Linked DNA regions of Pelodiscus sinensis. The main gene of each other region encodes a partner of the protein of the gene in region 3 in a complex. Links are inferred from orthologs where the notes say so. Each region holds a gene or a part of one and is shown on either strand. Other genes may lie near its edges.

What was found.
Region 1: GTF2A1 (region 3) and GTF2H4 share a complex: the UniProt entries of both Homo sapiens proteins name them as parts of the TBP-based Pol II pre-initiation complex. The link is inferred for Pelodiscus sinensis from reciprocal best matches to the Homo sapiens genes GTF2A1 and GTF2H4.
Region 2: GTF2A1 (region 3) and POLR2L share a complex: the UniProt entries of both Homo sapiens proteins name them as parts of the TBP-based Pol II pre-initiation complex. The link is inferred for Pelodiscus sinensis from reciprocal best matches to the Homo sapiens genes GTF2A1 and POLR2L.
Region 4: GTF2A1 (region 3) and GTF2F2 share a complex: the UniProt entries of both Homo sapiens proteins name them as parts of the TBP-based Pol II pre-initiation complex. The link is inferred for Pelodiscus sinensis from reciprocal best matches to the Homo sapiens genes GTF2A1 and GTF2F2.

Annotation. Positions count from the first base shown.
Region 1 is NC_134742.1:11,749,501-11,757,278, forward strand, and holds the start of GTF2H4 (general transcription factor IIH subunit 4), read left to right. Parts: upstream 1-4,765; 5' UTR 4,766-4,910; intron 4,911-7,778. Other genes in the region: VARS2 (valine--tRNA ligase, mitochondrial), read right to left, coding at 363-460, 1,700-1,766, 1,905-2,026, 2,300-2,400, 2,501-2,582, 2,942-3,306, 4,664-4,670. UniProt on the Homo sapiens protein: Component of the general transcription and DNA repair factor IIH (TFIIH) core complex, which is involved in general and transcription-coupled nucleotide excision repair (NER) of damaged DNA and, when complexed to CAK, in RNA transcription by RNA polymerase II.
Region 2 is NC_134714.1:119,981,905-119,989,339, forward strand, and holds the start of POLR2L (DNA-directed RNA polymerases I, II, and III subunit RPABC5), read left to right. Parts: upstream 1-4,425; 5' UTR 4,426-4,559; intron 4,560-4,669; exon of another isoform or gene 4,670-4,812; intron 4,813-5,871; 5' UTR 5,872-5,884; coding exon 5,885-5,979; intron 5,980-7,435. Other genes in the region: TSPAN4 (tetraspanin-4), read right to left, coding at 4,187-4,377. UniProt on the Homo sapiens protein: DNA-dependent RNA polymerase catalyzes the transcription of DNA into RNA using the four ribonucleoside triphosphates as substrates.
Region 3 is NC_134714.1:38,763,607-38,771,103, forward strand, and holds the start of GTF2A1 (transcription initiation factor IIA subunit 1), read left to right. Parts: upstream 1-4,486; 5' UTR 4,487-4,596; coding exon 4,597-4,626; intron 4,627-5,197; exon of another isoform or gene 5,198-5,676; intron 5,677-7,497. UniProt on the Homo sapiens protein: TFIIA is a component of the transcription machinery of RNA polymerase II and plays an important role in transcriptional activation. TFIIA in a complex with TBP mediates transcriptional activity.
Region 4 is NC_134711.1:286,841,328-286,848,526, forward strand, and holds the start of GTF2F2 (general transcription factor IIF subunit 2), read left to right. Parts: upstream 1-4,187; 5' UTR 4,188-4,409; coding exon 4,410-4,475; intron 4,476-7,199. UniProt on the Homo sapiens protein: TFIIF is a general transcription initiation factor that binds to RNA polymerase II and helps to recruit it to the initiation complex in collaboration with TFIIB.

The DNA.
Region 1 (7,778 bases), on a different chromosome or scaffold from region 3:
AAGGGGACAGCGCCCCCTACTGGGCCCTCAGACTGTTTCCTGCAGCACAGCGCCCCCTAGTGCCACACTGGGGTAGCACTGACTGCAAGGGGACAGCGCCCCCTACTGGGCCCTCAGCCTGCTCCCTGCAGCACAGCGCCCCCTAGTGCCACACTCGGGCAGCACTGACTGCAAGGGGACAGCGCCCCCTACTGGGCCCTCAGACTGTTTCCTGCAGCACAGCGCCCCCTAGTGCCACACTGGGGCAGCACTGACTGCCAGCACCCCCTCTGAGCCTCTGTCTCGCTCTATGTGCAGCCCAGGGCCGCTTCCCACTACTGCCAAGCCCAGTCTCGGGTCAGTGACGGCCCGGCTGCACTCACTCCTCTTTCCATTTCCAGACCTCGGCCAGGAATTCCCCTCGGGTCAGGTCCTGGCGCAGGGCGCCCCGCTCCTTCCACAGCTTGCGCTCCACCACCGCCTGCCAGGAGGGGAGCAGGGAGGGTTACCAGAGAGAGGGACACACACACAGGACAGAAACAGCCACCCCACCCCAGAGCTGGCTGCATTTCTGTGCTACGAGAGCAATTCCTGCGTGGCGTTGCTGGGGGCTGTAACCCCCGCCCCCAGCCAAGAGCTGGCTGCATTTCCATGCTACAAGAGCAATCCCTGAGCAGCGTTGCTGGGGCTATTCCCCCTCTCCCCAGTTGCCCCACCCCAGAGCTGGCTGCATTTCCATGCTACAAGAGCAATCCCTGAGCAACGTTGCTGGGGCTATTCCCCCTCCCTCCCAGTCGCCCCACCCCAGAGCTGGCTGCATTTCCATGCTACAAGAGCAATCCCTGAGCAGCATTGCTGGGGCTATTCCCCCTCCCTCCCAGTCGCCCCACCCCAGAGCTGGCTGCATTTCCATGCTACAAGAGCAATCCCTGAGCAGCATTGCTGGGGCTATTCCCCCTCTCCCCAGTTGCCCCACCCCAGAGCTGGCTGCATTTCCATGCTACAAGAGCAATCCCTGAGCAGCATTGCTGGGGCTATTCCCCCTCCCTCCCAGTCGCCCCACCCCAGAGCTGGCTGCATTTCCATGCTACACGAGCAATCCCTGAGCAGCGTTGCTGGGGCTATTCCCCCTCCCTCCCAGTCGCCCCACCCCAGAGCTGGCTGCATTTCCATGCTACACGAGCAATCCCTGAGCAGCGTTGCTGGGGCTATTCTCCCTCTCCCCAGTCGCCCCACCCCAGAGCTGGCTGCATTTCCATGCTACAAGAGCAATCCCTGAGCAGCGTTGCTGGGGCTATTCCCCCTCCCTCCCAGTCGCCCCACCCCAGAGCTGGCTGCATTTCCATGCTACACGAGCAATCCCTGAGCAGCGTTGCTGGGGCTATTCTCCCTCTCCCCAGTTGCCCCACCCCAGAGCTGGCTGCATTCCTGTGCTACAAGAGTAATCCCTGTGCAGAGTTGCTGGGAGCTGTTCCCCCCAGGTGCTCCACCCCAGAGATGGCTGCGTTTCCATGCCGATTCCCTCCACCATAGCTTGACCTACACTTCAAATTTCGGCTGACCTAGCTCCGTCCCTCAGGGGTGTGAAAACCCACCCCGCCCAGAGTGCTGCGGCTCTGCCGACCGGACCCCTTGGGCATTTGTTGCTGCTGCTTGGGGAAGCGGGGTTCCTCCTCCGACAGCACAAACCCTTCCACCGAAGCCGCGGCTCTGGGCTCACCTGAGTCGCGATTCCGGCGTGATCCGATCCCGGCACCCAGAGCACCCGGCAGCCCTGCATCCGGCGCCTGCAAGGCAGGTAGGAGACACACGCTAGGGCCTCTGTGTGCCGCAGCCGGCCTCAGGCCCCCGCAAACTGGAGTCAGCGCCCCCTAGTGGAGAAAGGCCGCACGGCCCATTCCCCACCCCTCCGAGCCCCAACTCACCATCGCACCAGCGAATCCTCGACGGCCACCGTGAGGGCATGGCCCAGGTGCAGGGACCCCGTGACGTTGGGCGGGGGGATGCAAAGGGAGAAGACGTCTGGTTTCCTATGGGGCTGCCGGCTCTGAGACACAGAGAGAGAGGCTGTTTTCACCAGCACAGTGCCCCCTAGTGCTGCATCGGGGCCAGCACGGATGAAGTGAGACGCCCTGCCCCCCCCGCTCCTCCCAGCACAGCGCCCCCTGGTGCCTCCCGGAAGGGGGACGACCTGCACTGACTGTGAGGGGACAGCGCCCCCTACTGAGCTCCCTGCAGCACAGCGCCCCCTAGGGCAGCTTTGAGCCCTGCCACAACTTATGCCAGTGATGGGCCTCTGATCCCAGGGGGACGTTTTTACCTGATATTCGGGTTTGAAGAATCCTTCCTTCTCCCACCACTCGTACCATGCGGCTTCCACGTAGCGGGGGCTGTACGAGGCCGGCAGGGGCAGGGACGTGTCTAGGGAGAGAGCCAGCGTTCGGTGAGCCACGACCAGAGAGGCCCCTCACAAAATCTTTATAGGCCCGGGGGGTAGAGGGGTTATATTTTCCCAGCATACCTTTCTTCTGACCAGCGGGAGTTGGGATGTCGTACAGAACCACCTCTTTCGGGGCCCACGCCTTACCCTGCCCCTGAGGTACCTGGGGAAACACCAAAGACACCCAAAAGGATGGCAAGGTATGAACCAGGCACCCTGCTGGGGACGAACGCATGGACCGGACTTCATCACGCAACAGAACAAGAAGATATTTAACGGGTGTGTCATTTATCACAGAGGAGATTTACGCTGGGGTTGCTCTGGACTGACCATGCAGCCACTTCTGGGGTGGAGTGGCCGGGGGACAGCCTGCAGCAACGCTGCCTAGGGGTTGTTCTCGGGGTCCAAAAATGCAGCCACTTCTGGGGTGGCACAGCTGCATTGGCGTCACAAGGGAGTGTTTCGTTTCACTGAAGACAGGGTCCTGGGATGAGCGCTGACTGCAAGGAGAGCGCCCCCTACCTCCTGCCTCCGGGCCACTCCGGCTTCAATCGACTCCAGCCTCTCCCGCTGCCGCCGCCGCTTCTCCGCCTTGTTCCTGAGCTGGGTCATTTTCCGCTCCAGCCCCTCGGGGTCGGATTGACTAGCCTGGGAGGAGGTTCTCCATCCACACGGGGCGCCTGGGGGCCGGGGGCCAGCCCGGAGCAGCAGCCGGCGGAGGGAGCTCAGAATCCACCCGGTGCCGGAGCCAAGCCAGTTGGGCGCCATGTCCAGATGTGAGTGGCTCGGACCACCTGCTGGTTGGGGGGTGGGTCCCCGTCTCCTGGCAGCTCCCACCCCACACAGGGGCTGGTGAGGGGGCAGCACAGGGCTGGGGAAGGCACCTGCTGGGCACAGAGAAGGAGACAGGATTTAACACCCAGGGACCTGTGTTTTCTGCCTCCGGTGCCTCCTCCCACTCACACCACTAGACCCCACTCCCCTCCCAGCTCCGGGGAAAGAACCCAGGAGTCCTGGCTCTCAGCCCCCACTCTAACCACTAGACCCCACTCCCCTCCCAGCTCTGGGGAAAGAACCCAGGAGTCCTGGCTCTCAGCCCCCACTCTAACCACTAGACCCCACTCCCCTCCCAGCTCCGGGGAAAGAACCCAGGAGTCCTGGCTCTCAGCCCCCACTCTAACCACTAGACCCCACTCCCCTCCCAGCTCCGGGGAAAGAACCCAGGAGTCCTGGCTCTCAGCTCCCACTCTAACCACTAGACCCCACTCCCCTCCCAGCTCCGGGGAAAGAACCCAGGTGCCCTGACTCCCAGCCCCCACTCTAACCACTAGACCCCACTCCCCTCCCAGCTCCGGGGAAAGAACCCAGGAGTCCTGGCTCTCAGCCCCCACTCTAACTACTAGACCCCACTCCCCTCCCAGCTCTGGGGAAAGAACCCAGGTGCCCTGACTCCCAGCCCCCTTATAACCCACCTGCCCCCCCAACTTGGACAGGGAGAGAGCCCAGTAGTCCTGGCTGTTGCCCCTCCGCTCTAACCACTAGACTCTGCTCTCCTCCCAGCTCTGGGGAAGGAACCCAGGGGTCCTGACTCCCAGACCCCTCTCTAACCCATCTGCCCCCCCCCTTGGCCAGGGAGAGAACCCAGTAGTCCTGGCTCTCAACCCTCCCGCCCCGCTCTTACCACTAGACCCCACTCTTCTCCCAGCTCCAGGGAAATACCCCAGGAGTCCTGGCTGTCACCCCCCCCCCTTGCTCTAACCACTAGACCCCACTCTTCTCCCAGCTCCAGGGAAATACCCCAGGAGTCCTGGCTGTCACCCCCCCCCCTCCCTGCTCTAACCACTAGACCCCACTCTTCTCCCAGCTCCAGGGAAATACCCCAGGAGTCCTGGCTGTCACCCCCCCCCCCCTGCTCTAACCACTAGACCCCACTCTTCTCCCAGCTCCAGGGAAATAACCCAGGAGTCCTGGCTGTTGCCCCCCCCCCCCCGCTCTAACCACTAGACCCCACTCCACTCCCAGCTCTGGGGAAAGAACCGGGAGTCCTGGCTCCCCCGCGCTCTAACCACTAGACCCCGCTCCCCTCCCAGCTCTGGGGAAAGAACCGGGAGTCCTGGCTCCCCCGCGCTCTAACCACTAGACCCCGCTCCCCTCCCAGCTCTGGGGAAAGTCCTGACTCCCAGCCCCCCCCCCCCCCCCCCTGGGCAGGAGTCCTGGTTCCTACTCCGCCCCCCCCAACCTCACCTGGCATTGTCCAGCCCCGCGCAACTCCCGCCCCGCCCCGCGCATTGTGACCTCACCCCCAGCCCGCCAATCAGCGCAGGGAGCGAACGCTTTGCTCATTTCCTATCCGCCCCCCCCCCCGCCACGCAGAGCAGGGGGCGTCGCATTGCATGACGGGAAGGGGAGTTTCGCGGGGGGTCTCCGCGTGGAGCCGCGGGCAGGTGGATGGAGGGAGCCGGCAGGGGCCGCTGCGCAGGAGCGAGAGAAGGTGGGTCCCCGGGCGGGGGGGGGGCAGCGCTGGGGATATGGGGGGCACAGAGGGGGCTGAGTCACAAAGGGGGCAGATCCTAGGGGTGTGAGTGGGGGGCACAAAGGGGAGTTGGGCTGGGGACAGAAAGGGGACCCTGTGGGGGGAGGGTTAGGGGTATAGGTGGGGGCAGAAAGGGGAGTTGGGGGGGCTGGGGGCAGAAAGGGGACCCTGTGGGGGGAGGGATAGGGGTATAGGTGGGGGCAGAAAGGGGAGTTGGGGGGGTCTGGGGACAGAAAGGGGACCCTGTGGGGGGAGGGTTAGGGGTATAGGTGGGGGCAGAAAGGGGAGTTGGGGGGGGCTGGGGGCAGAAAGGGGACCCTGTGGGGGGAGGGTTAGGGGTATAGGTGGGGGCAGAAAGGGGAGTTGGGGGGGTCTGGGGGCAGAAAGGGGACCCTGTGGGGGGAGGGTTAGGGGTATAGGTGGGGGCAGAAAGAGGAATTGGGAGTCTGGGGACAGAAAGGGGACCCTGTAGGGGGAGGGATAGGGGTATAGGTGGGGGCAGAAAGAGGAATTGGGGGGGGGTCTGGGGACAGAAAGGGGACCCTGTGGGGGGAGGGTTAGGGGTATAGCTGGGGGCAGAAAGAGGAGTTGGGGGGGTCTGGGGACAGAAAGGGGACCCTGTGGGGGGAGGGTTAGGGGTATAGGTGGGGGCAGAAAGGAATTGGGGGGGTCTGGGGACAGAAAGGGGACCCTGTGGGGGGAGGGTTAGGGGTATAGCTGGGGGCAGAAAGAGGAGTTGGGGGGGTCTGGGGACAGAAAGGGGACCCTGTGGGGGGAGGGTTAGGGGTATAGGTGGGGGCAGAAAGGAATTGGGGGGGTCTGGGGACAGAAAGGGGACCCTGTGGGGGGAGGGATAGGGGTATAGGTGGGGGCAGAAAGGGGAGTTGGGGGGTCTGGGGGCAGAAAGGGGACCCTGTGGGGGGAGGGTTAGGGGTATAGATGGGGGCAGAAAGGGGAGTTGGGGGTCTGGGGGCAGAAAGGGTGCCCTGAGGGGGGAGGGTTAGGGGTTTGGTTGGGGGAGAAAGGGGAGCTTCAGGATGGAAAGGGGGCCCCTGTGGGCTGGGAGGGGGAGGGCAGAGCCTAGGGTTATAGATGGGGGCAGACAGGGGCGCTCTGGGATGGGAGGGGGCAGACCCATGGGATACAGGTGGTGGAGGCAGAGAGGGGAGCTTGGGGTCTAGGGGCAGGGAGCCCCCCCCCCCCGGGTGGGTGGGGGCAGAGCCTAGGGATATAGGTGGGGACAGAGAGGGGTCCTTTCCAGTAGCAGGTCGGGCAGACGGGAGATGGCCAGGGAGCAAGGGGCCTGAATGGGGACCCTGTGAGCTGAGCCCTTGGGCGGCCCCCCAGGAAAGATTCAGACACCTCCCAGCTGATTAGCAGAGCACCCCTAGCCGGCAGCATGTATTTCGACTGGTGGTGCACATCTGTACATGTCGTGGTGCATGGCACAAAATGTATTCTACACACAGATGGAAAAAATTAGAGGGAACACTGATGGGGAGCATTGGATTGACATTGCTCCAGCTGTGGGGCTATGGGCTCCGAGCCCTCCCCTCGCATATGCTGCCTTCCTGGCCCCCCATCCATGCCCCCACTTCCCCATCCAGGGCTCCGTTTGTCCCCCTTCATTTGAGCAAGTCTTTTGTGAAAATGGATTGTTGTATGTTTGCTCAAATCACTTTTTGCAGCCTCCCCCGCCCCAGCCAGTGAGCCAGTCAGCTGCCCTGCTGAAAAGCGATCATAACAAGCATGCAAATATCCCTTTTCATGGGAATAGACTGAGCAGCTAGCAAGCCTTCAGAAAGAAAGCCACCCACCAAAGAAACAAGAGCGTAAGACAAGAACATGCAAAGCACCTGATCTGTGTTTCTTATCCGCATAGGCCCAGTAAAAAATAGATATTTGTATTATTGAGCCTGCAAAGCAAAGCAAACCAAACCCGGCACCATAAAAAAGAGCCAGTGACTGGGAGGTGGAGCTGTGCGTATTTATTTGGTTTTTTTCCCCTGGAGCTAATTAAGTATTTTAGGAAAAACTTGTCAGAGCGGCCACCCGCAAGAGTTGAGGCTCGCAGGCTGAGACCACCCACAAATGTGTTGCCTCGCCCCATTGACCTGTCACCTTTCCCTCCCCTTGGAGATCTCTGCTCTGGTCTCCCGTCGGCCCTTGTTCCCAGCTTGCATTGGTTTGGTACGTTTCGCCTTTGTGCTTTCTGCCCCTCATGCTGGGGAGAAGAATAAGAGCGGCCATTCAGCCTTATCCTGTCTTCTGACAGCGGCCAATGCCAGGTGCCCCGGAGGGCATGAAGAGATCAGGGAATCATCAAAATGATCCCTCCTCTGATGCCCACCTCCAGACAAACAGAGGCCAGGGACAGCACCACTTCCCGTCCTCCGTGAATTTATCTAGCTCTTTTTTTGAACCCTGTTGAAGTCCTGGTCTTCACCACATCCTCTGGCAAGGAGTTCCTCAGGTTGACTGTGTGTGAAGAAAAACTTCCTTTTGTTTTGTTTGAAACCTGCTGCCTGTTCATTTCATTTGTTCATTTGCCCCCAGTTCTTATGTGATGGAAACAAGTAAATCACTTTTCCTCCTTCGCTTTCTCCACACCTGTCATGATTTTACAGACCTCTGTCCTATCCCCCCCTTAGTCTCCTCTGTTCTAAGATGACGTGTCCCAGTCTCATTAATCTCCCCTCCTATGGGACCCGTTCCAAACCCCTCATCATTCTGTGCCCCAGTCTCCAGAGCTACCCCTTCATCTTACTTCATTCCCTTCTCCATTAGCTAGGATGGGTAGGGATGGTGTGTCTAGCCTGTGTTTGT
Region 2 (7,435 bases), about 81 Mb from region 3:
AGAGTACAATCTCACACACACACACTCTCCCCTCATCCCCCCCCAAGGGATTATGAAAAGAAAGCCTTCAGACACATGCCTTCAGTTTCTGAACTTTGCCAGCAGGAGGAGCAGGCATATATTAAGCCACCATCCTGCAGTACAAACTACAAAAGGAGAAGGTCACAGAAGACACAGCTTTTCAACATGGCTAGATGCAGAAATTCACTTGCCCTCAACACATTATAAACCACTTTAGGGAGTGTGCATGCAGGTCTCTTAATTGGCTGAATATTCTTTAATCCTCTCATTGGATAAGCAAAGGTGGCCTGGGCAACGAGCAGCAGACTGCAATATTCCACAGAAAGTGCTTTACAGGAAAGAGTAGAAAGGAACATCTGCCTTTTAAACAAACATGTAGGATATAATGGGTCATTGCTATAGTATTTTATACCTCAGCCCAGCTGTACTTTGCAGGTCCGCCTCCCTCCAAAGTCCTCAAGGTGTGTTTAACCCCAAGAGTGTTAGTGGCAAAGCAAACACCAGTAGCCTTTGAAAGCTATGCCAACAGCAAAGATAATCTAAATGTAACTAAGAAATGTAATGCATATGTCAGAGGGCAGGTTATACATATGTCTGCAGTTTCACAACAAAGCAGCACAATGGGCAGTCTGCTTTAGGATATACCCCACACACACATTTTTGGAGGGGGTTGGCATCACACTTCTTTACTCCTCAAAGAAGTAACTTAGCCAGTCAGAACCTCATGCAGAATCCCTGAACCTGTTGCTTCATATGGTTCACTACTAGTGACCCTGCCAGAGTGCTCCCGAACAATGAACTTAAGAGGCTCATCTACAATTGATATTGCATCCTACAACCTCCAATAACAGTCCAAAGCCACAAAGATCTGGGGAGTGCCACTTACTGATAGTAGTAGGAGACCTGGAGAATGGGAGAGCGTGAAAACTTCTTGGCGTGAGATGTAACCACACACTTCTAGGAGCATAAAGAACTCCAGTATTTGCAAAAGGAGATATTTATGTGGAAGACCCAATTCAATTTAGCACCAAAGAGTACGGTTTGGTATTAGAACCTATAAAACACTTAAGATTAGAGGTGCTGGAAATGGGGAATTCCACCCAATAAGGTAGCAAAAAATCACCCTAATAAAAATGTGCCAAGATTAATACCTTACTGACTCTGCTTCTTAAAACACAACACACAAATCTTTTAAACAGCCCGTTGTGGGTTGGCAGGCAAATACACTCAGGAAAACAAAGGACATGCAACGTTCTGCATAAAGTGTTCTCAAATGTAGCAGTCTATATGGTTCACAGAAAACAACAATACTTAAATTTCATAGGATCAAAGTCATTAGAGACATAAGAGATGTATTAGATCATTAAGCCCATCACACAGCCAGGGTAGGCTGTACACACAGGACACCTCTAATGTTAAAAGTAACACTATGGCAAGAGCACAGTGCTGTTTTCTTGATGAAGATGCACATGAGGAGTTCTTATTCACACAGCGCATAGTCAATCTGTGGGACTCCTTGCCTGAGGCGGTTGTGAAGGTTAGGACTATAACAAGGTTTAAAAGAGAACTAGATAAATTCATGGAGGTTAAGTCCATAAATGGCTATTAGCCAGTATGGATAAGGAATGGTGTCCCTAGCCTCTGTTTGTCAGAGGGTGGAGATGGATGGCAGGAGAGAGATTGTTTGATCATTACCTGTTCGATTCACTCCCTCTGGGACACCTGGCTTTGGCCACTGTTGGCAGACAGGGTACTAGGCTGGATGGACCTTTGATTTGACCCAGTATGGCCATTCTTATGTTATGATGCAGCAGCTGAGAATTAACTCAAAGTTGCTGTCAAATTCAGTTTTGTCTTCCTTAAAATTACCACAACTTATAGGCAAAGCCTGGACTTACCTGTAGTGTTGCCACTCTGCCACGAAAACCCAGTACCTCCCCTCTCACTCTCCCTCCCTACTTTCTGCCTGCAAATACACTTCACAGTTCTGCGAGAGAATTTCTGTAGAGCCCCAGTCCTAAAAAGGTATCAAATCACAATCTCTAAATTCACCACAGACACAAAATCAAAGGAGAAAAATATACAATAAACATGCAAACAGTTCTCATTGGCCTAAGAATCTATGGCTGGCAGCAGTTCGCATTGATGCCAAGTCAATTCATTCTGTTCCGTTATCTTATTGAAGATAATTATTGTTCCTGGGATTGCAAAATAATAGTCTGTTTGTTAGTGCTTAGAATTGTAAAACCACTTATAAACAATCCCAAAACCCATTTGTTATAATGGAAGTATTTGCTCTTCTACAGTTCAGATTCAGTCCAGAGTTTGTGTGTATTGGGTCAATAATCCATGTATTTAAAAAAGAGTCACGAAAGATGTATTAACATAAGCTGAGCATTAAGACAATTATTTATATGCTGGGCAGTAATGGGACCACACTATGCTTTGTATTAAATCTCAGATAACTTCAGAAAATTACCACTTCAAATAAAGAAAATTAGCATAATGTTAATGTTGTAACACAAGTGAGCAGTAAAAATGATCAATATTCATACTGATTCTCTATCCCACAACCTTCCTACCCAAAACAGAAGAATGTGCCCTCAAAGCAGGTAGCAACTATACCTGCTTGCATTCTCTAAGCACAACAAAAACACATTACCAAAAGCCTCTTAAGTTTTGGTGTACACAGCGTGATCGTTTTTCACCTTGTCTACCCAGCCCTGCAACTCCTTCTCAGTGGGGCATGACCCTTTCTTTCCCTGTCCTTTTCCCTAGATATTGCAGATGCTTCCTAACAGTGCATGATGGAGTTCTATTGCCTAGGCACAAGGAAATGGGCCAAGAATGGTGTGTGCCAGTGTTAAATTAGAACGTTCTTGCTTTGGCCACACATTGTCTTTTAAATTTATATTAACAACATGAGTCACATTAACATCTGTCCCTTATAGGGCCATTTTCAAGTTTAATTGGCTCTAATTTAGATTATGTAAAAGTGAACTCTCTTACTGAACTAAAATAATTATAACTCTCCCTATTTTGTTTCCCTTTTAATTAAAACGGTTGTTTTGAACCAGTAAATATCCCCCTCCAGGATTAAAAATTCACCACTAACAACATGGAAGTGAAAATGACAATAAACAAGAGTAAAACAATCCACACTGATTTGCTTCAGTCAAGCTGAGAGAAGGATAAACTGTACACAGTGACAAGTAACTTGGATTTTTTAAATAATTTCTAATTTAAAACTTTTACATATTATTAGTAACCACTAACCCCATTTGCTTGCTATCAACAATTGATGTCCGCTTTAAAATTGGCAGAATATATGCCTTTTTTATACAAATGCCTCCACAATTATTTGTAGGTGACCAAATTCAGAAACTTCACATTTAATACAAAAATTATTGAAATGTAAAGTAGCACATCAGACTTCCCTCTCTGCAACAGTAGGGTGCCCTGGGGCACACCTCCGGTTACCTTTGGGATGGTTACTTCCTCTTGAAAGATCTGTATTTGTACAGAATAAGGGTTTTGGGGGGCATCAAATATCAGCTCTATAAAATCTGGCTTGGATAGAGACTCCTTCCCTTAGGAAACGAAAGCACGGTATTAATAAAGTCTTAGGCAGCATTGTGAAACCAGGCTGGATTAATTTCCAAGGGCAGTTTTTGTGTGGCTGTCTGTGTTTTTTAAGTCTCTCCACGTTGCACTCTGTGGGGTTTGTTGTTTGGTTGGTTGCGGGGTTTTTGTTTTTAATTCTTAGCGTGTCATCACTGTTTGCAAGCCGCCTTGGGAGCATCTCTTCGCAAATCACTCCCGAGCCCTAGGGACAAAGGCATCCCACAGCGAGCGGTACCCAGAAACACCCCGCGTCTTGTCCTACCTCTCCCCGCCCTGAAACAGCAGAGGCTGGTGAATCCCCTGAAGGACCCAGGAGAAGCCCCTCTCCAGCTCTCCCTCGCCTCCCTGCTGCCCCACCACCAGGCGCACAACTTGGTGCCGAGCTGCAGCCACCAGTTGCACTTTCCACTCATGCACAAACCCAAGCACTAGCTGGGGAGGGGGACCTTACTTCTTCTCAGTCCCTTTACTAAAGCCCGAGCAACAAGTGTCCGCCCGCTGCGGAGAGCGCACGAGAAGCATAAGAAAGGAAGAGCGATACCTGACACTGCGCCGCTGCCGCAGCTGCCGCCAGCCTCTGGGCTCCGCTGCTCCAGCTACTGCGGAGGCTGCTGAACACTCCGAGAGCGCCAGCTGCCACTCAGCGCCGCAGCCGCGCACGCGAATCGCGAACGCTCCCCGAACGAGACTATCTTGGGCCAAGGGAGACGCCGTCGAGTTGGGACGTACCATCCCGAAGCCGGGGAGCTGAACGCGCTAGGCCGTAGGTCGGCCGCTATCATCTCCGGTGGCACTGTTGCGTCCTGGGTACGGAACACCCCCCCACCAAATAGGGAGGAGTGGTATCGCCGGCAGAAGGACAAGTCTGCTGCAGTTGGAGTGCACTTCCCGGACGCGGCGCGCGGCCTGCTGAGGTAACGGGACAGCGATAGACCCAACCACCAGCTCCGCGGGCTCCCTCCCCTGAGGGGCCCCACTACCCGGGGCCCTCAACCTGCTTGGGAACGACCCGCGCTCTGGCCTTAGAGACACCCCCGGGACTGGCGTCCCCCCGGTCTCTGGCTTCGCGCGCGCCACAACGGTCTTCCCGGGAGCCTCGAGTGTCCGGCTGCTGCGCGCGCGAGCTCCCGGCGCGTGGCGAGATGGCCCCTGGCCAGCGCAGCGTGGGTGCGTGTGAGCGCGCGGCTCCCGCGAGCCCAGGGCCCGTGAGGAAGCGGTGCGGAGTTCAGGGACCCGGGGGGGGGGTCTCGCTGAAAATCCTGAAACCCGGCGCCGCCTCTTGTGCCTGCTCTGACTGGAGATGCAACTGGCTAACAGCTGCCTGGCACGCTCCCTCCCCCCTCCTTTCCCCCGCCGCCGCGGGCTTGGCTTGGCCCGGCCCGGCCCGGCTGGGCTGGAGCAGTGGGTGGGGGCTGCTCGTGCCCTTCTTGGCAGGGGGAATCCGGGCTAATCGGTTAAATGTGACATCTGACCGGTTAGCTGATTTAAATGGGATTTTACATCCCTACTCTGAACAAACCAGCCAGGAGCAGCTGCCTCCCCTCCCCGCCTTGCCTGCAAAACGCTGCTTGGATATGGCACTTGATCCACTCAGCTACTGCCCCCTTGTTTCTCAACTTCTAATCCAGGTTGGACTGACAGGGCAGCCTGTAGCACATAGGTGCCTATGCTCTGCTTAAACAAGTCAAAGATCTTACCTAGGTGACCCAAGAGTCCTACCTACATGGGTCTCTTAGCAAGTTTACCATTCACTATTGGAGGGAAAGGCTCTAGCAATGGAGAGCTGCCCAAGCCTTTCACTGTGCTGTGTAGGTGCATACAAACGAGGAATGAGAGTGCACCCTGCCTTCCACCACCATAACTACTTAGGTCTGTAATGCCTGTTCTCTATTCACTCTAAGTGTGGGCAAAGCATCAGAGGATTTTGTTAAAATTGTTTGAACTGAAACTTGCCATAGCCTTTAACTATCGGTGTCTGAACTGAAAGACTAATGCATAGATGCTCTTATATGAGGTTAACAATCCAGGAGTGTGAATAAAATAAACAGGACTGTTTATACTTGGGTGCCTGAACTGACCCTTTCAGCTGTGTTGTACTCTTGAAATTCCCACCTCCCTTTTGCCCAGTGTGAAAAACTTACGTAATGATATTTTACAGATACATCAAATGCATTCCAAGATGTAAATGTAAGTGGTAACCATGTTATTTGGTTAATGTTTTGACAGTCACTGCAAGAAAATGATTATTCCCGTCAGATGCTTCACTTGTGGCAAAATAGTTGGAAATAAGTGGGAAGCATATCTTGGCCTTCTCCAAGCAGAATATACAGAAGGGTAAGTATTTCTTTATGGTCCTTGGCCCTGATCTTGCAAACAGTTACTGAGACTTGGTCTATGCTAGGGAAGTAGAGTGACATAAGGTGTCTTATGTTGACCTAACTGTCTTTGTCTACACTGCAGTGATGCTTCTGCTGCTGTAAATCACCCACTACATCAACTTAATAACTCCATGTTTGTGAGAGACATGGTGCTTAGGTAGCACCGTATCTGTGTAGACACTGGAGACCAAGCCCCAGTGCTAACAGCCTGAGCTGTCATGTCAGTCAGGCACCATTTTGATGCTACCCCACACTTCCTGCACATTCAGCTGGGCACCGGGCTCATACCTTGAGCCTCCTGCCCTGGTATTGACAGTCAGAGCTGGAGAGGGCATGAAATAACAGCAGCCATAAAACGGACAAGAATGTCCATTTCACTACTGGTAAGCTTTCTGCTATGAAATTGACCTCAAGCCCCAGGAATACAGGTGCCACTCAATTCTGCTGTCGGTGCCCCACTGGTAGGAAGAAGGTAGCATGATCAGTGATATCAGATTTAATTGCTGTGGTGGCTGTAGGTTGACCTAATTTTGTAGACAGGCCCTCAGTGCTTATGCATTGACTTTATTGGGGTAGCGCCTAAATTTATGTATAAGCGACAAGGAGTCCTGTGGCACCTTATCAACTAACAGATGTATTGGAGCATAAGCTTTCGCGGGCTAAGACCCACTTCCTCAGATGCATGCGGTAGAAATTTCCAGAGGCAGGTATAAATATGCAGGCCAGAATAAGACTAGAGATAACGAGGTTAATTCAGTCAAGGAGCGTGAGGCCCACTTCTAGCAGCTGATGTGGTGTTCACATCTCCACATCAACTGCTAGAAGTGGGCCTCACGCTCCTTGACTGAATTAACCTCGTTATCTCTAGTCTTATTCTGGCCTGCATATTTATACCTGCCTCTGGAAATTTCTACCGCATGCATCTGAGGAAGTGGGTCTTTGCCCACGAAAGCTTATGCTCCAATACATCTGTTAGTTGATAAGGTGCCACAGGACTCCTCGTCGCTTTTGCAGATCCAGATTAACATGGCTACCTCTCTGATACAGTTATGTATGTAACTATTCACAGGGTTTAGTTTGCTTTTCCCTGTCTCCTAAATATAGGACTTTTTACTAGCTCTACATCTTGTCTGTAAAGTGAACAAGGGCACCAAATGCTTGATTTTTTTTTGATTTTTTTTCATCTTTTTTTTTTTTTTTTTACCCCCCAGGGATACTGGGCACTCACATCTTATGAAAGTTAGTAAGTGTTCAACAATTTAGAAAAAACTACCCTGTCTGCCCTGAAGGGAGAGCTAACATGGAGACTTCACCATAAAGCCTACACCACATTCCTTCAACCACACAGATAGGGGGGAAAAAGCTGTTGCCATCCCACTCTGTTGCCTCTGATACAGAGGCAGCAGTACGGA
Region 3 (7,497 bases):
ACCTAGGCAGTGTTCCCTCTAAGATTTTCCAACCATAAGCAGAGTGAGTTTTGGCTTTTTGAAGTCATGTGCACTGATTTGGATGTGTGCCACCATGGCACCAAATTTATTAACACACACATGTTCCCGGCCGCTGGAGCAACCCCCCCTTCCATGCAGCATGTTCCATTCCCAGCCACTGGAGCAGACACCCCCCACTCCACTATGAGGCAGGGCCTGTTCCTGGTGCCAGCCACGAGAACAAACGTTTCCCCTCCCCACCTACGTGGAAGCCCTGGCCACCAGAGCAAGCTGCTCCCACCTCCCCCCGCCCTAGTGCTCCCTCATTATGGTGTCTCAGCTGGCCCTGCCCTCCAGAGCAGCTGCCTGTGCAGCTCTCCAGAACAGGTTGGCGGGGGAAGAATTTTTTTGTGTGCAGCCGCCCAGGCATGCACCTTAGTGGGAACTATGACCCTAGGTCACAACTCCTTCCTGTCCCAGGTCACATCCCAATCTCCTGCACCCCAGACCAATGCCCCAGGTCACAACTACCTCCTTCACCCAAACTCCCTCCCAGACCCCACTCTCCCTTCTGCACCCCAATCCCTTTCCCCAAACTCCCCTCTGCACCCAACTTCCATCCCAGATCCCGCATCTCTGTTGATATAGAAGAATGCAGTCCTTGACCACTTACCAAATTCTTGGAGTGGCCCCCTATCAAAAATTCTTGCCCATCCCACTGTACAGAGCAATGGAAAATTAATACTAACAGGCTGCGTCTAGACTGGTAAGTTTTTCTGCAAAAGCGGCCTTGCCAGCTATCTACACTGGCTGCTTGAATTTGCACAAGAACACTGACGATCTAATGTAAGATTGTCAGTGTTCTTGCGCAAATACTATGATGCTCCCGCTCAGGGATAAGCCCTCTTGCGCAAATGCTTTTGCACAAGAGGGCCAGTGTAGACAGATAAAAACTGTTTTGCACAAAAAGGCCCTATGGCGAAAGTGGCGATTGGGGCTTTCTTGCGCAAAACCATGTCTAGATTGGCACGGACGCTTTTCCGCAAAAAGTGCTTTTGCGCAAAAGTGTCTGTGCCAATCTAAATGCTCTTTTCCGCAAATGCTTTTAACGGAAAAACTTTTCCGTTAAAAGCATTTGCGGAAAATCATGCCAGTCTAGACATAGCCACAGTGTTTTCCTTGGGTGGTGTCAACTTTGGCTGATATCTCACTCCTGAAGGTAACAGGGACAGAGAGAGCACAGCTGCTGCTGGTGTCTCATTGCTACCCAGGCCCAGATACTGCTAGTCTGTGTGCTATGATACCTACTAAATCACTGAATGGCATGGGAGAGTGTTGTGCCATGGTGGGAGAAGTAAGGCAGCCCTCCCTGGGAGTCTTTGGCAGAGGATTGCAGAGTACCTCCATGAAAGCTTTACTGAGATCTTTATGGAAGATTCACAGGATATCCCATTGCACATAAACACCGCACTGCTAACTCTACTTTTCTGGTTTGTTTCACTACTACTTCTAGCAGAAATGGAAAAAAGAGTAAATCAACAGCAAACTACATACTTATAAGAAGTTCTTTCCCCTGCATTAGGCTCACTTGCATTTGAGTATCAGGAGTAGCTGGATTGCAATGGAGTCAAAAACACATCCTGACTTGCCACACAGATGGATTGCATGTAGTCAGTCCCCCATGCTTCTCCTCGCTGTTCATAGCAGGGGCTGTGTCTGGGACTCCTCTAAAGTATCCATGAGACTTGGAGGATGGCATGCAGCTTTTTATAAAAGAATCAGGTAGGTAGCTCTGCATCAGATTAATTATTGGCCTCCCTTGCCTTCTAGGGTCATGAAATATGGGATGACTTGGGGCGTGGGTGTGGGTGTAGAATCAAATTAGTGAGGGCCAAACAGGGCTAAAAGGATGGATAGGAACGTGGGGCCAGGAGAGGTCACTGGATAGGGGCTGGGAGAGTTGATAACTGGACTCAAGGAAATTGGAGGGGGATTAAAAAAGACCTGAGGGTGCTGGATCACAAGTGGAGGAGAATGAGGGGGCTTTGGAGATCTAGGGAAGCCCTGTCCTTCTGGGTGGGGAGCTCAGATCAGGCATGTTAGGAGCCACGTGTCAAGAACACACAGCTGAAATGGGGATGAAGAGTTGAGAGCAGACATGCTTAATGCATATCATAGAGACTCAAGCTTTCGGGAATGGGGATGGTACACTCATTGAGATGAAGGGAAAAATTCACACATCTTAGAGCTGTTGTTTCAAGATGTATTCATCCCTATGGGCTGTTCTGATTCAGCAGACACTGGCTACATCTAGACAGCACTGTTAAATCAGAAAAAGATACACAATTTGAGATTTCTTTCACTGGTCCTGTTAGCAACTACATGCTCTAAATATTCAATATTATCATTGTCCCCATTCCAGGATACCATTTACCATACCATTTACCTTCCCCCACCCCCCCATCCCCCTTCTGTTCTGAAATTAGATTTGTCCTTTTCATAGGTGTTCATTTTTTTGATTGTATCCTTTGGTATATATGGTTGTGACAATTTTCTTCCACTATTTGATCTGAGGAAGTGGGTCTGGCCCACGAAAGCTCATCATCTAATAAACCATCTTGTTAGTCTTTAAAGTGCTACATAGTCCTGTATTTTGTTTCAGCTACACCAGACTAACACTGCTACATTTCTATCATTATTATTATTTGTGTAACTGTAGAACTGAACAGGACTAGTCATGGTCCAGGACCCACTCCACTGTATATGATGGGGGTGGGGGGAAGCAGATTTATTGGGTTCCTCAATAAAGTGGGGAGAATAACTCCATGCTCCTGGACGGGGAAGGGCCTCAGGCAAAAGGGGCAGAGCTGGAGGCATCAGCACCGTCCAGAGCACACTGTGCTCGCCTCTCCACCCCCTGCCAGTGCTGAGAGCTGCCTGGAGCATGCTGTTTAGCGCTCCAGCAATCATTTAAAGGACCTGGGGCTCCAGCCACTATTGCTTCTGTGGTAGTGGCTGACAGCAGTGGTCCCCTTTGAATTGCCAGGCTCAGAACAGCTGCCCCCTTTACCCTCATCTGTCAGCGGGCCTGACTGTACAAACAAAGAGCAAAAACATAGACTCTGGCTCAAGGATCTTATAGACTAAATCAGTGATGGGCAACCTGGGCTAGTAGGTGGGCTGCATGAGAGACCCTCCATCTCAGTAGGCTGAAAGATTGTTGTAACCAAAATGGATTCTCGGGATAGGGTAGTTTTGCTAACAGTGCTTGCAGGGTGGAAGGTTTTGCAGGGCCCTGGGCAACACAATTTTACGCCCCCCCCCCGCTTTGACACAGCGCATGCGCCATAGCGCATGTGTGGGGCCTCTGGAAGCACGGGGCCCGGGACAGCCACCCCGCTCGCCCTGCCCTATATCTGTCGCTGAGTGCTTGCTCACCTATAATTTGTGGGGTGTGCAGATTGCTGATTGCAGTGGTTTGAATGTAGAGGGAATACATGGCTCTCACAGTCAACGTTGTGTGCAATCAGAACGTACTTCTTGCGCCCTTACTATACGTGCAAAACGCTTTAGTAATACCTGTAGGAAAAAAATTTATGCAGACAGAAGCCAGCAGAATCAGGCAACACTATGCATAAGTCATTCATAGAACTCTGATGGGCTGCATGCGGCTTGCAGACTGCCCACCACTAGCCTAAATGTAAGATGAAAGACATAAAAATTCATATCCCTTTCTTGTTATCCTCTGTAAAGTAACCATGAAAAGCTTTGTTAATGTCTTTTAAAATCTTGCTTAGCTCTTAGCATCGATATTTTTGGGGAATTAATTAAGCCTTACAGAAAAATGTAAGTCCCTTTACTAGATTTTTTTTTTTAAATTTACCACCACTCACTCTCATCCACTGTTCCTATGCTCTATGGAGACAGATGCCGGAGACAAGCCGGGTTCGAGCACAGATCAGGGGCTGCAGGTTAGAATACACACTGATGCAAAAGGCGATGCTACCAATGCATCTCGGCCAGGGAGCGCCCTGCAGCCTCCGCCTCCCCACGACTACAAGGCTGAATCGCCGCCCGTGTCCCGGGGAGAAGCTCTCGGATGCCCCGCAAGCCCCATCTCGGAGCACACACGCAGCGGACATGAGCCCCTGGCTGCAGCACCAGGCACAGGCACTAAGCGTCCAGGACCTTCCCTTCCGCCTCGCTAGGTCTGAGCGGGAGCGCGCAGGTGACCTCTTCGCTACTTCCGCCTCAGTAGGTGTCATGGCGGCAGGGCGAGCCTCCCACGTGACTTCAGGCGGGCGGAGCTCGGTCCCACAAGCTCTCGCGCAGCCTCGCTTCCCCCCGCCCGCGTCCCCCTCTCGCCCTGGCCGCTCGCGCAGCTGCTCGGCTCTTGCTATATAAAGGGGCGAAGCGGGCAGAGCGGGCGGCTGGCGGCGGCGGCTGCAGCCCGAGGGCCGGCGAAGGAGGCCGGGCCAGGCCGCGGGGCTCCCCGTGCGCCGGGGCGGGACGCGCGGGGTCGGGGGGACGCGCCGGGCAGGTTTATTGTTTTAGGGGCGACTCCGCCGCGGTGGGGTGTCCCGGGGGGCTCGGGACATGGCGAGCTCGTCTAACACAAACCCCGTGGTAAGGACCGGGACGGGGAGGGAGCGGGGGGGCTCGGGCGACAGGCGGGCCTCAGAGCCCCCCGCCATCCCTGGCCGGCCCCGCCGCGGGAACGGCCGGCCTGAGCGGGGCAGCGCCCCCCAACCAGGAACCAACTTCTGCCGCCGCTGCCGGGGAGCGGCGCCGGGACCCGCCAGAGCCGGCGGGGTGGGACGGGAGCGGCGGCGGCGGCGGGCAGCAGCCTGTCTCCCAGCCAGGAGCGCCGAGGGGGGAGCCGAGTGTCTCCGTCGCCTGCACCGCCACAAGGCTGGGGGGCGGCTGGGGAGGGGGCGAGCGGCTTCCCCTGGGGGGAGAGGCTACCGGGGAAGCCAGGCGCTGCCTCCTGTGCCGGGGGAGGGGGCGGGCGGGTGGCGTATGTGGAGGCGAACTCAGCCTGGCGCTGCTGGAGCCATTTTATGTAGCTTTATAAGAAGGAGGCAATGGTTGAAAAGCACTTGTCCCAGCCCTGCAGACTCGGCTGACGGAGGAGAAACCCCCCTCCAGTCTCTTCCCCGTGGCAAGGAAGTAATTAAAAAAAACCCGAACAACTCACCCCTTCCTCCCCCTTGTGCTTTCTGCACTCTCGGCGGTGGCTTGTTTTACTTGTATTCACATAGATGTGCAATAAGCAGTCACATAAATCTTTGTAGCCGCCAAGCCCCACCGATCGCTTCTTTCCCTTCCCTCTGACAAGAATAAACCCATCCACAAGCCTACCCCCGAAAAGCTGCCGACAAACCCCAGTCCGGGCGGTTACGGTGCAGGCTTGGCCCCCTTGTTTGTGTTTCGCTGTGAGATCCATCATGGCTTCCCCTGCCTTTCTGTCTCCCTGCTCCTTGTGTTCCTCCTCCCTGTGACTGCCCTGTTTATATAGAGCCATTGCCGCTCTCTAATATAGACTCTGCCAGGATGGGAAGGTGCTTTCCAGCCCCACGTCACCGCCTCTCCATTTAAACACCACATCAGCCTTTAAATAGGGAGAGAGCTGCTGGGAGGTGCATGCACCAGAGGCAGAGACTGAGAGAGACACAGACACGCTCTTTTTGTCACTCAGTTCCTGCTTTTTCTGCTTAGCTATTAGTCCCTTCCGTATTAGTCTGCAGTTCGTAATCCCAATTGTTGAAGCTGTGGAATTTTAAAGTAGCAGTTGCTTATCACTCTGTTTATTTAGGTTGATGATTGATCTTTTCTAAATTAGGCAGTATTCTTTCCTTTTTGTGTGTTGTTTAGTGGAGGAGCACCAATCCTCACCCTATTTAGAAAGTAATCTGGAGTCCTTAGCTATTAAACAATGCAACAAATAGTGCCTAGTATATAAATGTCTGCCCTCTTACATGTCTTTTCTGCTGTGGTAAAGCTGTAGTTGAAATAAAATTATTCTTATCTAGTATTTTATAGAGAGAACTGAGGCTAGCTATTTAATGATACTTAGCAAAAGTTTACTTAAGGGTGAAGTTTTACATGTTTAAATGTTGGCAACATATTGTAGTCTAATGTAGTTTAAAATATCTGTTCCAGATAATAAAGTTGAAGGTTGTGCAGACATGTTATTACTCTCCAGGAAGAGCTAGAATTTGTTAAAAGTTTTCATAATTTTTGTGGACATAACATAATATCAATTGTGCAAATATTTTATTGCATCAGATTTTAAATACCAGGTAGCCCTCTATAGCATAAGAGCCACGCTTATGTATGTGAAAAAGGATGTCTGTTGCCTTTGTATTTTCTTTTGGTTTCAGTCAGTGAAATTAGTCAGCTATTCTGTACATGGCAATTTATTATATGTCCAGTAAGTGGCATGTAGTGAGAATAAATGTCAGCAGACATTCAAAGAGCATAGACTGTAATCACATTGATAGTTTCAGGGTTTATTATTTTGTAACAAAGACCTACTTAGGCTATGTAGTACTAGCAGATGTACCTGGCATTGCTTGGTCTTTAGTAATTTTTTAAATTAAAAAAAAGTACATGCTTTACTTAAATGACAGGGCTCAGGGCAGGAGGTTGAGTGTGTGGGGTGCTTGGTTCAGGAGTTAGGGCAGGGAGCTGTGAGATGTGTGGCGGGCTTAGGGCAGAGGCTCAGGGTAGGGATGTAAAATCCTCTTTAATTGGCTAACCAGCTAAACATATTGTTTAATCGATTAAAAGGGGGAGGATGGGTGTGCTCCCCCTTCCCACTGCTGGGGGAGAGAGAGGGGACACCCCTCCCTCCTTCCCTCTGCTGCAGCCTGGCCGGTCCCTGCCTGCAGGGTACCCTGCGGGGCTGCGGACAAAGGGTGCTCTGACTGGGACAATGGAGCAGCTCTTCCTTGTGACCGGGTCAGGGCACCTCAGAGACAGGGACTGCTCTGAGCATCCCAGTCACAGCAGCCCCTGCCTGTCCATAGCAGGCCCCCTGTGAGGCTGGAGCAGCCCCTACCTGCAGCAGATGGAGAGCTGCTTCAGCCTCATCTGTTCATCTTAACCCACAAGGAGTATTGGTTAAACCTTCGTATCCCTAGATCAGGATATGGGGTGGGGTGCCTCAGGATAGTGGATGGGGTGCAGGAGTCAGGGCAGGGGACTGGTTGGGGAGCTTAGGTTGCCGGGTTCTGGAGTGAGGGCAGAATGTGGGGGCTCAGGGCAAAGGGTTGGGTGTAGGGGAGTCAGGGCAGGTGTTCAAGTGTGGGGGGGCTGGAGGCAGGGGATGGGGGGACTCGGAGTAGGTGAGGGGGAAGGAGTGAAGATGGGACTCGAGGTAGGGGTGCCTCGCCTCTGAGGCTTTGCTCTGGCGCTGGACCGCTTTGCTCCCGGTGCCCCTGGTTTGCTGGAGACGGTCCCCAGCAGACCAGGGGCACCGCGAGCAAACCCGCA
Region 4 (7,199 bases), on a different chromosome or scaffold from region 3:
CCTGAATTCTGTCAATAGTCTTATAGCTGACTCCTCCCAGAGCTGAGCTGGTTCAACATCTATGTTGTTCTGCTGAAGGGCCATTACCGTAACACTGTGACTTGTTTGGGGAAGATCAGAGCTTCTGGAACAGCAGGATAGGGTGATGGGGCACTCCAAAGGGCAAGTCGGCAGGCTCAGTGGCATGACCAGCACACCAGGTGACAGCCCAAAGGGAACCTGTCACACACTATTCTCAGAAGGTGTGGAAGTATTGGGGAAGTTTATAGGGCAGGGCTTAAACTGGTGCAAATGATTATAAATTGTCAATGGATTTCAATGGAATGAGGACAATTATACCTAAAAGCCTGCCCCAGTGTCAGCGAAGCCAATATGGAAAGGAGGAAAAACCTGGCCTATTTGATTAAGGAGGATATGAATCTCTTTGGCAGTGTAACTCTTATTAGGTTTTTTCTCTGAAACTGTTCAGCACCTTTTTCACTTTGTTACTGAGTCATTTGCTGACAAGATCGAAGAAAGAGCAGTCCCTGGATCAGTTTTCTTTCTGATAAAATGTCTGTATCACTCATGGTTTGAATGAAAACTATTATCCATCATCTCTTTTTTGCCTGGAATGGGCTGAGCTATGGAGTTCAGATCCTGATCTAAATCTGAATTTTCCCAGACTCTGGAGTGTTCAAATTCAGTGTCCCTTATAGAGATATGCCTCAGGTATCACAGCATCCAGAACCAGAAGACATTCAGATTCCACAGCAAGAGGTAACGTATAAAAACATAGATCCACAGAATTCATGGAGGGGAGCTGGAGGATACATACAGTGTTCTGGTTTTGGTCCATCTATAGTGCTGGTGAAATTCTTTTAAAGGCCCAGTTAGTAGTAATAATAGCTTACATTTAGCTAGTATCTTTTATTCTGAAGATTCTCAAAGGCCTTTGTGAACTATATTCATACAGCAATCATTACTGATATAGCCTTTGAGATGACAAATAGCTAACAGAAAATGTGCACGTAGTACTCAGAACAGATGAGAGTAGAACTAAAATACTGCCCAATCAGTGAGCAGATACAAAGCCTTGCTCTTATGAAAACTGCCAGGAAATCCTGAATTTCCATGCTGAGTGGATAGGATTTCAGGTTTAAGGTAGGGGTGTGAAAAGAGTTAGAAGCAAGTGAAGAAAACGTACTTGTTGAATGTTTGAATTAAACATATATGGCTATCTTCCAGTAAATGACAAAATATGTTTTCTCTCATTTGGTTTACCTGTACTTGGCACAGGATGCAAAGAAGGAAATAATAAGTGGCTTTTTTGTTGCTGGCCAGAGATGCTTTGGTCCTTAATACAACTCTAAGCAGCTGCAGGGATGTTCTATGTTACCTGTGGTCTCCAAAGAGCTATACTGGCAACCAATGATTAGTGAGCCATAGCAATACATTGGCTATGCCTCTTTTCACTCTGGGAATAACCTTTACACTAATTGTTGGAGGGGAGGGGATAGTATAGAAGTAGTGTAGTGATTCTACAGCACTCTGGAGATTTTCCCTACATGGAAAAACTCCTCAATTGGCCAATTAAGTTGAATTTACAGTCCCTCTGTGTCAGCAAAACTGTACAAATGAGCCAGTGTGGTGATGAATCTGTCCTTCTGTCTCTTAGAGCAAGTTTCTTCTGTTCTATTGTTACACACCCACATTATGGAAATATTTTGTCATTAATATTCAGTGAGCACCATCTACTTTGTGTATAAATCCAAACACAAGTCAAGAGCCATCTGTTTAATATAATTCAGCATTTCAGTTTTGTGTGATTATATCTGATCTGTTTGACCTACCATGTCAGCGCTGTTTGTTAACTGTAATTTTACCTGATGTGGGAAATTCTAGGATGCTTGTGAAAAGAAATGTGTGTGTATGCGCATACGCGCATATATACATTCCATTGTATTGTAAAATAACAATTCATGCATGCTATGTTTTATTCCCTTTCTACATACAACATCTCACTTTCCTGGGGATTTCTCTGAGTAAGGGTAAATACTGAAAAGGTATGTTTCATTAAACATGCTAGGATTTGCAAAACAAATCCTCATTTTTGGGAGGTTGTTTTTTTAGCTTTGGGAGTATAAGAACTATATTTAATCATCCTGAATCTAAAATCTACAGCACTGGCTCAAGGAATCTTGGAAACCTCAGGGTTTATCTTGCAGAATTTCCTCTGTACACTGGCCCCAGGAGCAAGAAGTTTTAGTGACCTGAGGGAGGCAGAAGGCATAGTCTTCATCCCTGTAGATCAGTAGTTCTGGACATTGTGACCAACTGTGTGCTAGATCTTTGTGACAGGTGAAAACTTCTCCCTCTTAAGTATGTTTTCATTGCCTTCTCAGCCTGCATCTATGCCACCCTTACCCCTTTCTAAGAGGGCTGCTGACATAGTGCAGGTTGGACAGTGTTAACTCCTCTGAGTATATTTTCCCCGATATCCTTTTGATTCTGAGGGAAGCATACATAAGTTCACTGTAGTCCACAACAAAACTCCTATTAATTTTAATGATAATGCCGTTTTTTTTGTCCGTCGATTATTTTTATCTTGCAAATCAGTACTGCCAGTCCTAAGACTTCAGGCAGCACTGAAAGAGGCTTGTTACAGTGCAATCTCTTGAGCCCACTTGGTTATATGAAAAATTCAGAAGTAAAGGCTCTGTAATTTAAAACCTAGTAATGTATTTCCCCTGATTTTACATTTATTGTATATAAACAGGAACAGAAATGGAAACACAGAGCTCAAACTCTCAGCTACTGGCTTCCGATTCTTCATCTATGGAACAAAACACTGGAAAGTGAAACATAAGGTTAGGATTTTAAATAAGAAATTAATGAAAATGCTTCTTTATTGCCCCACTTAATGTAGTTTCCATGGAAACAGGACTGGATAGGCTGCCTGTAGCTGGAACGGAAAATTCTGCCTTGTCACTTTCTGCTCTGAGCCACCAGCTGAGCCAATAACACTGCCATATTTTTCCTAGTTTTTAGCACCTTACATGAAAACAATGATTTCTCACAGAGCAACTTAACTGGCCAAATTAGTATTGTTAGCTAAGTTTGTTACTTGGGCATTTAGCCTGTTTACTTATACTACTTAACTAACATAAAAATTTAAAAGGAGGAATGTAATGCATATTCAAATTACTAAATCACAACACCAGATTACTGTCAATGTCACTTGAGTTGAAGAAATTAATTCCATGTCATTTTTAAACAGTGGGCAGGTGCAACCTGAACATATGGTTTGAGCTATTTAGACACAACTCCCACCATTCACTTACTGTTTGGTTTTAACAAATCACATTGGGTCATATTAAAAGATGCTGAACTCTTCCTACTTCATTGTGCTCATCCCTTCACAGGCTCAGTACCTAAGCCTCAATTAACAGCATCTGTGAATCCTGCCTGGGGCAAAACTTCAAGATACTGAACATCCTCCCTACTGTGTTCAAACAAGGGCATCCACACACAACCTTTCCCCAAAGTAAGTGACAGTGGGAATAGAATAATAGTTTACAAATAACTGGTTTTCAGATAGACAAACCCTTCATTTCATTTTTGGGCTTTCGGAGATGCAATGTCTGAGTTTCAAACATGGAAGTGGGTGATTTTTTTGCTTAAATACACCTATTCCCTTAAAGGTTTTTAACTTAATGAAAGCTTGCTTTTAACCTGAGTTTTGGGCTAAATCTGAGTTGACAGCCTGTTTCTCATCTCCTGTCCAGGCTCTGGGGATGCTGCAGAGTGGCTGGCTTTTACAGGAATGATGGTAACCCATTATTGATTCACACATCGGCTTCCCCCCTGCTGCTGGAGTAGCTACCAGGTTGTTTCTATGATAATCAGTAGGTAATTTCCTACCAGCAGGGCACGGCCCCACTCCAGGCCTGGCACCTCTGAGGGGTCACGTCTGTCTCCCCCCACATACAGCTCTGTCCCAGGAAGGAAGCACGGCCAGGAGCCCAGCTTCTCCAGGGCCCTGTCACTCAAGCTACCAGGGGGCGACTCCCCTCTAGGCGCTGACCTGCCAGCTTGGGGGTGTCCCCACCACAGTCAAACCTCCCTGCAGCGCGCCGGGCGGCCCCTAAGCCCCCCAACACCCGGGGCGCCTCCCCCGCCGCCAAGTGCCAGTCGCTGCCCCTCCCCCTCCACGCCTGCCAAAGGAAGCGTGAGGGATCAGGCCTTTTCTCGGGGGGGGGGAAGGGAGGCACTCCCTCCTCGCTCCGCTTTGCCGCGGAAGTTTGGCAGCGCCGGGCCGCCGTAGACGGGGTGAGCTGTTGATTCCTGTCCGGCTGGATGCAACGGCCATTGTGTGCGGGCGCCTCGAGCTCGTTCCGCGTGTCCTCGCGCCCCTCGCCCGGGCCGCCATGAGCGAGAAGGGGGAGCTGGACCTGACCGGGGCCAAGCAGAACACCGGCATGTGGCTGGTGAAGGTGAGAGGCCGCGCGGGTCCCGGGCCCGCTGCTGCTGCCGCCGCCGGGACGGGGCTCGCCTCCAGAACGCAGCGCGGCGGGGAGCGAGGGGCTGGGGAGATCCCCTGGGGAGGGCCCCCGACGGGCCGGTGGCGCTGCAGACGGGGCCTGGCGGCTGAGGCGGTGTCCCCGCCGGTGCGGTGCGGCCTGGCGTGACCGTCCCTGAGCGGCGCCGCTTCCCGCCGGGGCCCGCCCGGCGCGCAGGAGACTCCCCTTGGCCGCCCCCACGGTCTCCGGCGGGTCCCGCGCGCTGCTGCGGCCTCCCTGGAGCTGCGGGGACCCCGCCAAGCGCGAGCCGATGCAGAGTCAGCGGGCAGGTGCCCCGGCCTCTCGCTGCTTTGTCAGGCGCCGTGCCCAGAGCTGCGAGGCGCCAGCCCCTTCAGTGGCCGCGCTTGGGAGCAACCCCCTACCGCTCTGTTTCTGTGAGCACTGGCGAGGGGGACAGGGAACGAGACAGTGTAATTGCCTCTCTATGCCAGTAGCATCATGGAAGCCTTGGCAGAAAGAAGAGAATTAATTTTTCCCTTTTCTGTAGCTGGGGTGTGAACTTTAGGCTAGACTTAAGACACTGTTGGGTGGGGATGGATGAGGCTCCCTAGGCACTGTCCCTGGCTTACACCCTGCTAGGAATCACATCGTACTTTATCTTCTAAGACCCTGGGCTACATCTACACTGGCAGCTTCTTGCGCAAGAGCTGTTTTGCAGAACAGTTCTTGGCAAAAAGTCTTCCACAAGGGAGGCTGTGTCTAGACTGGCAAGCTTTTGCGGAAAAACTTGCGAGCTGTCTACACTGGTCACTTGAATTTCTGCAAGAACACTGACTTCCTACTGTCTGAAATCAGTGCTTCTTGCGGAAATACTATGCTGCTCCCATTCGGGCAAATGTCCCTTTTGCGCAAAAGGGCCAGTGTAGACAGCTCAGATTTGTTTTGCGCAAAAAAGCCCCTATTGCGAAAATGGCGATCGGGGCTTTTTTGCGCAAAAGCGCGTCTAGATTGGCACGGACGCTTTTCCTCAAAAAGTGCTTTGCGGAAAAGTGTGTGCGCCAGTCTAGACACTCTTTTCTGCAAATGCTTTTAACGGAAAACTTTTCTGTTAAAAGCATTTGCGGAAAATCATGCCAGTCTAGAGGTAGCCAGAGTGTCTACACTGGCATGTCCTTTTGCACAAGAGATGTGCTTTTGCGCAATAGCGTCCATGACAGTGTGGACGCTTTCTTGCGCAAGAAAGCTCTGATGGCCATTTTAACCATGGGGCTTCATGCACAAGAAATTCATGTTGCCTTTCTACACTACCCTCTTGTGGAAGAGCTCTTGCGCAAGAGAGCTTATTCCTCATGGGGAGAGAAATAACTCTTCTGGAAGAAGCCCTGTTTTACAACGCTATACTGTAAATTTACTCCCACAAGAATGTGCGTGCAGTGTAGACAGCAGGCAAGTTTTTGCGCAAGAACAATTGTTCTTGCGCAAGAAGCTGCCAGTGTAGACATAGCCCTGGGGTCTTATCTGCATTAAGAATTTTCAGGATGACACAGTAGATGAGCTTCAGGAGATAGCCAAGTTAATCAGTTACAGAAAAAAACAACAAATGGTCTGGTAGCACTTTATAGACTAACAAAACATGTAGAAGGTGGTATGAGCTTTCGTGGGTGCAGCCCACTTCTTCAGATGATCAGAGTTATGAGTAGGGGATATGAAAACTCAAAATAAATAGGAGAGGGAGAAGAAAAAGAAAAAAAGAGCAGCAATAGAAATTTTCAGAAAAATCCTTAATATAGACATAGTCAAGGAGTGGGCTTGTCATTAGGTCTTGGAATTTGCTCTTTCGTGTCAGTTTCTGGATGGATTTTGCCCATGAAAGCTCATGTTACCACCTACATGTTTTGTTAGTCTTTAAGGTTCTACTAGACTATTCATTGTTTAAGTTTTTCTAGTTTCTGCGTAGTAGGTTTTATGAAGCCTTGTTGAAAATGGGTTGATCCTACCTGTGCTAACCAAGGAGTTTTCAAATGAGGAGATGAAGATATAAGGGGGACCCTAGGCTGTGTCTAGACTACACTGCTGTGTCCACAAAGAGATATAGATTAGTCACGCCGAAATTGCTAAATATCCGGCACTCCATTAGCATGGGCTCCCCACCCATGGCCACGGCTTTTTTTTTTTTTTTTTTTTTTTTTTTTTTTTGAAGCGGGGCTTTTTTGGGAGGGGGGAAAAAAAGCAGTCTAGACGGGGATCTGTCGAAAAAGGCTTTATTTTTCAATGGATCCCGTCTAGACTGACTTTTTTTTGAAAAAGCTCCGTTTAGAAAAAAAGCAGCAGCCATGTTTATGCTAAGGAAGCATGGGATATTTAAATACCTGCTTCATTAGCAATTTCGACATGCCTAATCTACATCTTTCTGTCGACAGAGAGGTATAGTCTAGATACAGCCCTAGTGTTCATATTGATTATTAACAGAACTTTCCTATGTATACTCTGTATAGGAGGAGAACTGGAATAGCAAGAACTTTTTATGATTCTTCACAGATAGTTGATGACATGATGACATGACTTAAAAATGACTTCCATGACTGGTATGGACCAAGTCTATGGTCTTTTAACATTTTAATTCCTTTATATAGTAGGGATGTGAAAAGGTTATCTGGTAACTGCTGCAGGCAGGGGGCTGCTTCAGTCTTGCAGGGG